Drosophila melanogaster: one gene and its partners. The protein of the gene in region 1 purifies or fractionates together with the protein of each later gene. This does not show direct contact. Each region holds a gene or a part of one and is shown in the gene's direction. Other genes may lie near its edges.

Region 1 (3,377 bases):
GTCGCGGCTGTCGATGTGGCGGAGCTGGTGGAGCTCTAAGGGGAGCGGAGGTCGCGGTTTTTCCAAGCCTCCTGTGGACGGGCACCGTGTCCTGTCGGCTAAACAGCTCGTCGCTGCGCATGCGTATGGTCTTGCCCTTAACAGGACTGAGTCGAGCCTGTGGTTTCCTTGCAGGCGATGCCTTTAGGTTGTATGTCTTCTTCGTGGCATGAAGTTTGGATACTAAAAAAAATGTTATAAATTAATTGACTGTGCCACTTCTGCTCTGAAGCAAACATACCCATTCCGAGCCTTGATTTAATATTATTCGCAAAACTTTTGCCCTGCCTATTTTTGTATGCCGATTCGGGAACGATTTCCCGAACCTCCGCTGTCGAGGCGAACTTAACAATCTTTTCGCCGGCTCCCATATCAAAATCTTCTCCGCTGGACATGTAATCCTCTTCGTCACTTTCGAAATCGTCCATGCTATCATCGTCGTCGTCGCCTTTTTTAAGAGGCACTTTGTGAACTAGCATGACCTTTTGCTGCGTTACAGCGGCCACCTTCTTCGCTTTCACAATGGGCGAGTTCTTGGTGACCCCTCCTCCTCCTCCTCCACCACCAACTGTACGGTGTGTGTTTTTAAGGATCGATTTGATTTCCCTGGTCGAAGTGAACTCCTCCGGAAGAGCGCCCTGCTTGCCACCGAGTCGAGCGAAGACCGAATTATTGCTGGAGGTGGCCGCTGTTTTTGATGCGCCGGCAACGTGCACGCGGACGCTGCTCTCGCCCGAACTGGAGACAATGCCCTCCTGCGCCTCGTCCTCGGCATGCAGGCGCGTAAATATGTCCGACTTTTTGGAGCTGCTCACACGATCGGAGTATACTAAAAGAAGATATATTGAAAATTTGATCTTGTTCTTTAGAAATCTGTAATCTTACATTTTTCCCGCTTGGCTAAGATCTGTTTGCTGCGCTCGGTGGTTCCCGAGGGCAGTGTCACCTTGTACTTGCCCTCGTGCTCCGGAAGCACCCGTCTTGCAGGTTTCGCAGGCGGATAAACCTTTGCTTTTGGAGTTGCAACCGGCGCTTTGGGTTTTGGCGATACCGGTCGGACAACTGATTGAACCACCTCCGTTGTGAGGACCTGTTCCCGGGCATTCTGTTCGCAGACGGTCTTTGAGTGCCGCAGGATGGCGATTATATCGCCCATCAAGGTTATGCCCATTTCCCGGAGATACTCCTTGTTAAGATCCAACAGCATGTCGTCCTGGATGCGGTTCTCCACGAAGACGTGGGCATAGCCGGCAGCCGCAGGAGATGGGATGCCGGCCGCATTGAAGAATTTTACCCAGCGTGCTGTAATTTTCGGTGGTGAGTTCATTATTTTTAAAGTGTGTGATATTTTTTAGGTCTTTATTTTTGTTTCGCACCCGGAAGCGTCTGTTCAGTTTGTTTCGTTTTCACGATGTTATAAACCCACCTGCGCTTGACTTGGACATTTTGCGTATTTCTGGTGCTGGCAAGCACAGATTCTTACACGATTCAGCTACTATTTATTTATTTTATTCCCATAAATTCCGTTTTTTGCACTCGAAACTATTTATATATTTTAGAGTTACCACAAATCCTGAACGATTATCGGTATTCGGTTATCGGATATCGATTAGACCATGTGTTAGTGTTGTTAAATTCCAAAATGTTGTAGTAGGGGTAATCAAAGCAAACACTGTTCAAATTTAAATTTAAAGAATCTTATTAAAATCCTTATTAAATTTCTATATATCGTGATTTAATGTAGTACACTTTGGCAATATATGCTTAATTATTTATTTACTCTTACATACGTACGGTGTACATATTAAAAGAAGTTAGTATAAAAAGGATTTTTTCATGGACTGTCGGTATTTTTAGTACTTCCACACTGTTGTTAAAATTGTAAACAAATCCCGCCGCACGTGTGATATTTAGTTAAAATCAAAATAATTGTATTTCTAAAGTTTCAAAATATGTCTGGTAAATACGATCTGCTCAGTGAGCAGGGCCTCCGTCTGGACGGACGACGTCCTCATGAATTGCGCCGCATCAAGTGCAAACTGGGAGTCTTCGAGCAGCCCGATGGAAGTGCCTACATGGAGCAGGGAAACACCAAGGTTCTGGCTGCCGTCTATGGACCCCACCAGGCCAAGGGCAATCAGACAGAGTCCGTCATCAACTGTCAGTACAGTCAGGCAACCTTCTCCACGGCGGAGCGCAAAAATAGGCCGCGCGGCGATCGCAAATCTCTGGAGTTCAAGTTGTACCTGCAGCAGGCGCTAAGTGCTGCCATTAAATCAGAACTATATCCCCGCTCCCAGATAGACATATACGTGGAGGTGCTCCAAGACGACGGCGCCAACTATGCGGTGGCTCTTAATGCCGCCACACTGGCGCTAATTGATGCGGGAATCTGCCTCAATGAGTTCATTGTCGCCTGCACCGCCTCACTGAGCAAATCGAACATCCCGCTCACAGACATCTCTCAGTTCGAGGAGGTATCCGGCGGACCGAAACTAACCGTGGCTGCCTTGCCTACCGCCGAGAAAATCGCCTTTCTTGAGATGAGTGAGCGGTTCCACATCGATCACTTGGAAACCGTCATCGAGACTGCTATGGCGGGTTGCCGCGAAATAAGGGACATTCTGGAGGCAGCAGTCAAGGAGCACCTTCTGCACATGGGCAGTGCCTCTGACTTTGCGAAAGTTGGTTGAAATAAAGTAATCTTTTCTATTCCAATCTTGTCGTTTTTTACAATTGAAGGGCAACAATTATAATAAAAAGGAACCAACATTTACAAATTAAATAGTGTCTTTAACATTGTATTCAGATGGCTGCCCTTGCTCTCTTTTAATATAATTTCTGTTGCAAAAGCACAATTATCCTCTAAAACACAGGCGTATAAATGTAGTAACAAACGAAAGTAGCTCTAGTTTTTCTCAATAGCTTCTTTTGGTGGCTCCCACCTATCCAAGAGCTCCTTTAGTCGTTCCCTTCGATGTTCCAGTTGCAACTTCTCTATTAGTCCACTCAGTTGGTCGCCGCCCTTGAGGAAACCATTGAGGTTGTGCAGCGTACCGCCTTGAATTCGATGATCCGTTATGCGGTCCTGGACGAAATTGTAGGTACGGATCTTCTCATTGCGATTGAGACTACCCTGTTGCGCCTTCTTGGTGGCCATTTTGCTAGCCTCAACGCTCTCCAACTGCTGTTGCACAAGTCGCGACCGTAGACGCTTCATCGCTAGCTCCCGGTTTTTGAGCTGGGAGCGTTCCGATTGCGCCTCCACCGCCAGACCCGTGGGCAGATGAACAATTCTTACAGCCGAGTCGGTGGTGTTAACATGCTGTCCACCAGCT
Region 2 (3,422 bases), on another chromosome or scaffold:
CCAATCCCTTGTTGATGAACACGTATATGGCACCCACGTCATAGGAATCCCCTAGAGCGTTGAGTGGCGCGGATACGACCACATCCGTTAGTCCATCGCCATTGAGATCTTCCGCCACCACGGAGTAACCGAAGTACTCGCCCAACTGCTCGCCGTGAAACACATGCAGCTTACGGACTATCTCTCCCACAACGTCGAAAATGTATGCCTTGCCGGTATTCAGGACAGAGCTCGGCGCGGTGGTCACGTAGAGCAGACTGGTCCGGTTATTGCTGCTAAAGTATCCGGAGCTCAGGGCGTAACCGACGTATGTGAAGTGATTCTTTACCCAATCCCACGAATCGAGCATCTTGACTGCATAGCTTCCCTGGGCAGCCAAATCTTCTCCGCGGTGCACTAACACCGATCCCTTCCAGCTACGGACTCCCGGGGCGCCGATCAGGAACCCCGAGTTGTCGTCCGTCACATGGGCACTGAGCCCCAGCTCCAGCATGAAATGTTCTTCTGCTTGCGAAGGGATTAGACTGATAGTCCTCACGTCGCTCAGCGGAGGAGTGTCTGCCACTGTGTCCCGAACCCAGTAGCAAATTCCTCTCATTTGGCCATAGTTCTTGTTCTTCGGCACGAAAAACCGAGGTGCGCACACGAGCAGCTTGTCCGTATCCTTGGTGCCGCCATCCATAGAGCCGCCCAGCCACTGGAATTGCTTATTTAGCTTGTCGTTTAGGACGTAATGCGAGCAGGATCCACTGGCCAGGGGGCATCTGTAGACAGCTCCAGTCTCATTAATGCTGCCTTGCGATTCCAAGGTGGACTGAGCACGCGGAGCTCCCACGAAGATGCTGCATTGATCACGAAGTTTTTTGTTAGAAGGAACTTCATGGAATTTCAAGTGCAATCACAGTCTGGGATCGATAGCTTCCCTAGGATAAGATCTCACCTGGTTGGACGGATGACGAGCGAGTATCCAAAGTAGGAGCTTCGCACTTGGATCATTCGGGTTTTTAGGTGCTTTGGAGCATCTATCACTCGATTCGGCAATGGCGAAAAGTTCATTGCATTGCTCTGGTATTTGAGAGCCAAAAAAATTAGGAACAGAAGCCGATGCATTTTCTACTTCAAGTTTTTAGTCTTATTCTAGAAAATATTATTCCGGATGGGAATGTGCCTGCGAGCTCTGAGGCAATCCAACTGAAACAAGATGATGAATGTTTCAGAAGTCTAATGGAGCTTAGCTAACTTAAAGAAGACAGATAACTTATCATTGAAATGCCAGAGCAATTATTTCAAAGCTGTTCTTTAAAATTATAATTTGTATGCTGCTTATCTAAGGACAAACTCAAAAATGCTTTCGACATATATATTATACACATTAACAATAAATGTTATTTCATAAAACTAAGGAAACTAAAAACGTGATTTTAACAGTTTTTTTTAATCCCCTTTACTTTTATTTTATTTCGATTGTATGTATTTTTTGTTAGGCAATAGAATTTGCAAGTCTTCGTTACATTTACTTTCGAATTTCAACAAAATTGGTTTTTAAAATTGCAATTCGCCGCAACCGATAGGCACTGTAGTTGCGGCGAAGAAATGGAACTTGAACCGGAACCAGCAACGAACCCCGAACCCGAACCGGTTCCGCGTGGCGCGTGTTTTGCCAGCTGTTGCTCTTTTTGCCTCGCTCAAAATTAAATTTTTGTTTACCTCGCTTTGGCCAAACTGAGATGTCCACCAACGCGGCGATAGATCTGGCCCTGGACCGGGTGGACTGGCGCGACCTGGCCGCGCAGACGGAGGAACAGCCGAGGGTGTATACGCCGGGGGAAGTGCTGATGCCGGAGGCGGGATTCATGCGCGGCCACGGAACCTTCGTCGAGGACGAGAACATCAAGTCCTCGGTGGCCGGGGTGATCCAGAAGGTCAACAAGCTGATCTCGGTGCGCCCGCTTAAGAGTCGCTATGTGGGCGAGATCGGGGACGTGGTGGTGGCCCGCGTCAGCGAGGTGCAACAGAAGCGCTGGCGAGTGGACACCAATTCCCGGCTCGACTCCATCCTACTGCTCTCCTCGGTGAATCTGCCAGGCGGAGAACTACGACGGAGATCGGCGGAGGACGAGCAGATGATGCGACGATACTTGGACGAGGGCGATCTCATCTCTGCCGAGGTCCAGGTGGGTACTTCCTAACTTGCTGGTACTGGAGTAACTATATAATCTTTCTTCTCTGGCCACCAGAACATCTTTGAGGAGGGCTCCCTTTCGCTGTACACGCGCAGTTTGAAGTATGGAAAACTATCGCAGGGCATCCTGGTCAAGGTGTTCCCCGCTCTCGTCAAGCGCCGCAAGATGCACTTCCACAACCTGCCCTGCGGCGCCTCCGTGATCCTGGGCAACAATGGCTACATCTGGATATCGCCGACCAAGGGCCAGGAGGAGGAAGGCGGCGAGGGAGGATTCGCTCAGAACCTGAACGAGCATGTGCCGCGCGCGGATCGGGAGGTGATCGCCCGGCTGAGGAACTCCATCCTCGCGCTGGCCAAGTGCAAGCTGATGATTTACGACACCAGCATCCAGTACGCCTACGAGGAGTCCCTGCGCTACGAGGCCCACGAGCTGCTCCAGCAGAACGCCATCTACGACATCGGCCAGCAGACGCAGGCTCGTCTGAGGGACGCGGACGAGTAGTATATATGCATATACATATATTTTATACACAAGTAGCTTAAATAGAGGTTAATGTATTTTCTACCGTCAAATGAAAAATTAACATTTCAATGGGTTCGAAATTGGTGGATTTCAAAATTGCATCAGTGGGCTAAAATCTTAAATACACTGAAAACTATCGCAAGCTTTCTGTTTAATAAAAATGTTCATTTGATATTTCCTGAATTTGTATGATAAATGTTGGTTTCCTAATAAAAAGTCAGGTTTTCTAAAATACACAAACTCTTTAAAAAAGAAAACATTTATTGCATATAAGTTAGGTTTTATTGGCGTTTAAAAAATACATACATTTTCATAGCACTTTAGTTTTAGTTAAAAGTTTCGACTTAAAATTACTTTTAGTTAAAAAGCAGCTAAAATATCGATATTTTACCAGGACGCGCACCGAGTGGCAGCACACATTAGCGATCCGGCAACGCCCTGGCGGTTTGTGCAAATGAAAAGTGATTCTGCCTGGATGATAAAGGGACTCGGCATAAATTTTTTATTTTTATGTCATCCCATATTAGTGTGACGTTGTATTTGTGACAAATACTTGATTGTGTAAAATAAAAACAAAAAGTTTCGCTAGCAAAATTCACACAGAAACATCGATATCTGCATAGTGCACATCTCTAAGCGACGCCAAGCGATTGTTTTCCTCTCATTTGTAATCTGTACGCACTTTGCAAGTGAAATTCCGCGTTTCTACCGCCG
Region 3 (3,680 bases), on another chromosome or scaffold:
TACGGCCACCATAAACTTCACGATGATCTTTCCTGGTTTTCTTGGACAAACGGCACAACTTAACAGCCAAATGGTGGCCTTCTGCATGTCCCTTGTGGCTGGCGCCGACATTGTGTTCCGTTTGCTGCTGCCCATCGTCACAGATCACCTTAGAATACCCTATCGCGTAGTGTTCCTGATCGGCATTGTTGGACTCTTTGTCGCTCGCTGTGTGCTTGCCGAGAATCAAACGCTGCCCGTGATCATCACCATGTCTGTGTTGACAGGCATGATGAAATCAGCCACTGTAATCAACAACAATCTCACCATATCGGCGCATTGCCGCTCGGAAAAACTGGCCGGCGGTCTGGGTCTGAGCATGATGTCCAAGGGCGTTATTGTTATCACAGTGGGCCAGCTGCTGGGATGGGTGCGAGACTACGCCGACTCCTACCTAATCTGCCTTTATGCTCAAGGAGTCATTCTGCTGGTGGTGGTTCTTGTTTGGACACCGGAGATATTGTACCGCCACCGCAGGCAGCGATGTGCCACCAACAAGTCCATGGAGACGCAGTCTATAGACGCAGCTGAAGTGGCCAAACTCAACTCCTAAATCTCTGGTCACTACCTGACTGGATAAGAGTTTAAGCGAAGGATATCGGTATTGACTGTCATGTGATAGGCGATGAAATGACTTCCCCGTAGGGAACATTCCACTCTCGCCGCAGTAGTTATCTGAGTTGTGAGGAAGGACCAGTGTCAGGAACAGCACTATCTGTATGACTATGCATCTTAGGTTTAGGTTTTCGATTATTTATTACCATTTTAGCCCCTAGACCTAACTTTTGTACTGCCATAAGAGCCAAAATACAAATTAAAGTATGCATATTACAAAAACCAGGTTTATTAGCATGAGACGAGTTTGCAACTCTTTCTCTGATCGATCTTACTTGGGTAGGTATACTATTTATTCCGAGGAAATGAAGCTGGGAGTGCTGGAAACAGCCGATGCGCCCGATTCTGTGTTGTAGAAGATGCGTCGCTCGATGCCATCCTTGGTGATGATGCCAATGCGCACCACACCACCGGAGCTGCCATCGTGGTAGATAGCGTGCTGGACAGCTGTTGGAGGAGGTTTAAATGGGATTCGATTGAAGGGAAACTGTTTTGGTTTTTTTGGGATTACCTACCCTTCTTGACGAATGTAACGCAATCCTCCAGCGCCATATTGGGGCGGTAGTGCTCCCTAACAAATCCGTAGATAAAACTAGATCCCGATCCGCCGATGGTGCAGGACTCGCGGGTCAGCATGCCGCCCAACGGGATGCTGTACACCTGGCCGCCGCGCTGCTCATCCCACCCAGCCACAATGATGCCGGCAAGCAGGGACTCGCGGTAGCTGTAGCAGTAATTACGGAACTCTGAGGCGGCCTCGAACACCAGAGCATCCTTGTTGGTCTGATTCTCGTGATAGTTCAGCGAGTAGGCCACAATGTCGGCAATGGCCTGGGTGTCGGCGGCCGAGCCACTGCGGCAGCAGTACACTTTGTCCGTGATGCGGGTCAGCTTGTCGGTGACCCGATTGGCAACATAGGCGCCCGAGCTGGTGCGCGAATCGGCTCCAATGACCACTCCGCCATCGAACTCCACTGCCATAATGGTGGTCTGCAAATAGGTAGGATTGTGCTCTTAGTACGAAGTTATGTGGCTGATGCTCTTCATACTTACACCAGTGCTGACCGGTGTGTCGGTGAAATCAAAGTCGGGCTGCATATTGATCTTTAAATTTGTTACAATTCAATTTACAATTGATATTTGTTGAAACGCCGCACGAACACGAAATGACTGGCTTGTTTTGGATAAGTGTTACCAGATGGCGATGTGAAATGAAATGCTTCAAATGAAAACATACACCTTTCGCACTGACAACAGTTCAGTAAAGTAAAAACGAAGTGCCAGCAGCCCTGCTTTGCGGTATATCGATAGTATCGATGTGGGTTCATTGCACATGTTGAATTTGTTTTGAATATTTGTTTTCTTGAATTAAGTCTAAAATGGCATACGTTGCACTGAGCGAAGCTGAAAAAACATATATTCTACACGGCGTGGAGGTGTGTTAAACGGTTATGCAAGAAATATAGTCTGTACCTTAAACTATGCGTTTCCAGGATGACTTTCGTTGCGATGGACGTTCACGACGAGATTACCGGCCCATGGACCTGGAAACTGGACTGGTTAGCAATGCCAGTGGATCCGCTCGCCTTCGGCTGGCGAACACAGACATACTGGTGGGCGTCAAAACCGAGATTGATGTACCCAACCCGCTGACGCCCGAGTTTGGTAAACTGGAATTTTTTGTGGATTGGTAATGATGCAACTGAAGTTCGAAGAATATGCCATAACATATATATTTCAGCTCTGCTAATGCCACGCCGGAGTTTGAAGGACGCGGGGGCTCGGATCTGGCCCAAGAACTTATTCTCTCCCTGCAGAACGCCTACGAATCGCCATTGGCCTTCAACTACCGCACGTTGTGCCTCATTCCGGGTCAGCAGTGCTGGAAGCTGTACATAGACATCCTGGTTAGACTCTAGTGTGCTTAATTATACCGAAAATGCTAATCCCTGTTCTCGCAGATTCTGGAGTGTGGCGGCAATCTACACGACGCAGTGTCGCTGGCCGCCAAAGCGGCTCTGTTCAACACAAAGCTGCCCCGGGTGACAGCCACCATGTTGGATGCCGGCATCACAGACCTCATCATATCGGACAATCCGTATGACTGCACCCGCATCGGCATCGAGACGGTTCCGCTGTTGGTCACAGTTTGCAAGATCGGTGATTATGTCCTGGTGGATCCTTCGGCGGAGGAGGAAGTCTGCAGCACAGTGAGCATGGTTGTGTCAGTTTCCATGCGGAATGGACAGGCATTCCTTTCGGGTACACACTTGACCGGCGGCGGAGCCATGCACCGGGACACCATGCGCAACTGTCTGGAGCTGGGTCTGGCCATTGGCGAGCATCTGGACCGGCTGCTCACTAAAATGCTAAATCTGGAGCAGCAGCGCGTCGGACTCAAGCGACCGCAAATAGTAGGATTTCTTAAATAAAGCGGCAAAGTCTTGTAATGAAAATTTACTATTTAAACGATCTGACTCTGACTTGGAGCTCGGCGCTCCGATTAAGCTTAATACTAAAAGCTATCTGGTGGCCAACTACTACTGGTCCTTGCGCTTCTTCGCCTGCCTGACGGCCGGAGCAGGCTTCTTCTCCTTGGGCTCGGGCTGCTTGCCCGTTAGCAGTGAAGTCAGCATTTCGCTGATCTCGGGCATATCGTTGCCCATCTGTGGAGCAGAGCATGATTCATATAATACTATAGTGCTGTGCTATACATGATCCTCACGGCTTACCTTTGGGAACTGCAGATTGTCGATCTCCTTCTTTGTCTCGGGATCGTTGATCATCTTGGGCAGCACCAGCATAAGGAGCAGAGGCAAGACCATCATTAGGACCATGGGGCTGAACAAGAAGTCGGTGATCTGTGTGGGTCAAGAGCAAAAGTTAGTTTTGTGATTCTTCCGTTGGTGGCAATATAATGATGCACCTTCCACTGCTCTCTGGTCTGGAAGTATTTAAAGGGCATCAGTGGCTTCACGCGCAGGGGATATGCCACCTGCATAATTTGGGCGGGCTGCACAAAGTTC

The links. Proteins that work in one complex are often made in the same cells at the same time.
Region 2: the proteins of Ski6 (region 1) and Rrp4 purify together in Drosophila melanogaster (affinity purification with mass spectrometry, with the first as the bait; one large-scale study listed by BioGRID). This does not show direct contact.
Region 3: the proteins of Ski6 (region 1) and Rrp42 purify together in Drosophila melanogaster (affinity purification with mass spectrometry, with the first as the bait; one large-scale study listed by BioGRID). This does not show direct contact.

Annotation. Positions count from the first base shown.
Region 1 is NT_033779.5:13,220,836-13,224,212, reverse strand, and holds Ski6 (Ski6), read left to right. Parts: upstream 1-1,783; 5' UTR 1,784-1,852; intron 1,853-1,905; exon of another isoform or gene 1,906-1,982; 5' UTR 1,983-1,991; coding exon 1,992-2,732; 3' UTR 2,733-2,816; downstream 2,817-3,377. Other genes in the region: CG16812 (uncharacterized protein), read right to left, coding at 1-222, 281-868, 925-1,341, 1,466-1,484; mRF1 (mitochondrial translation release factor 1), read right to left, coding at 2,948-3,377.
Region 2 is NT_033778.4:23,554,444-23,557,865, reverse strand, and holds Rrp4 (Rrp4), read left to right. Parts: upstream 1-1,648; 5' UTR 1,649-1,727; coding exon 1,728-2,174; intron 2,175-2,237; coding exon 2,238-2,687; 3' UTR 2,688-2,848; downstream 2,849-3,422. Other genes in the region: ItgaPS5 (integrin alphaPS5 subunit), read right to left, coding at 2-842, 941-1,110.
Region 3 is NT_033778.4:16,012,945-16,016,624, forward strand, and holds Rrp42 (Rrp42), read left to right. Parts: upstream 1-1,963; 5' UTR 1,964-2,033; coding exon 2,034-2,090; intron 2,091-2,147; coding exon 2,148-2,344; intron 2,345-2,395; coding exon 2,396-2,561; intron 2,562-2,615; coding exon 2,616-3,086; 3' UTR 3,087-3,106; downstream 3,107-3,680. Other genes in the region: CG8389 (uncharacterized protein), read left to right, coding at 1-592; Prosbeta1 (proteasome beta1 subunit), read right to left, coding at 947-1,101, 1,170-1,644, 1,708-1,752; EMC7 (ER membrane protein complex subunit 7), read right to left, coding at 3,195-3,320, 3,387-3,515, 3,581-3,680.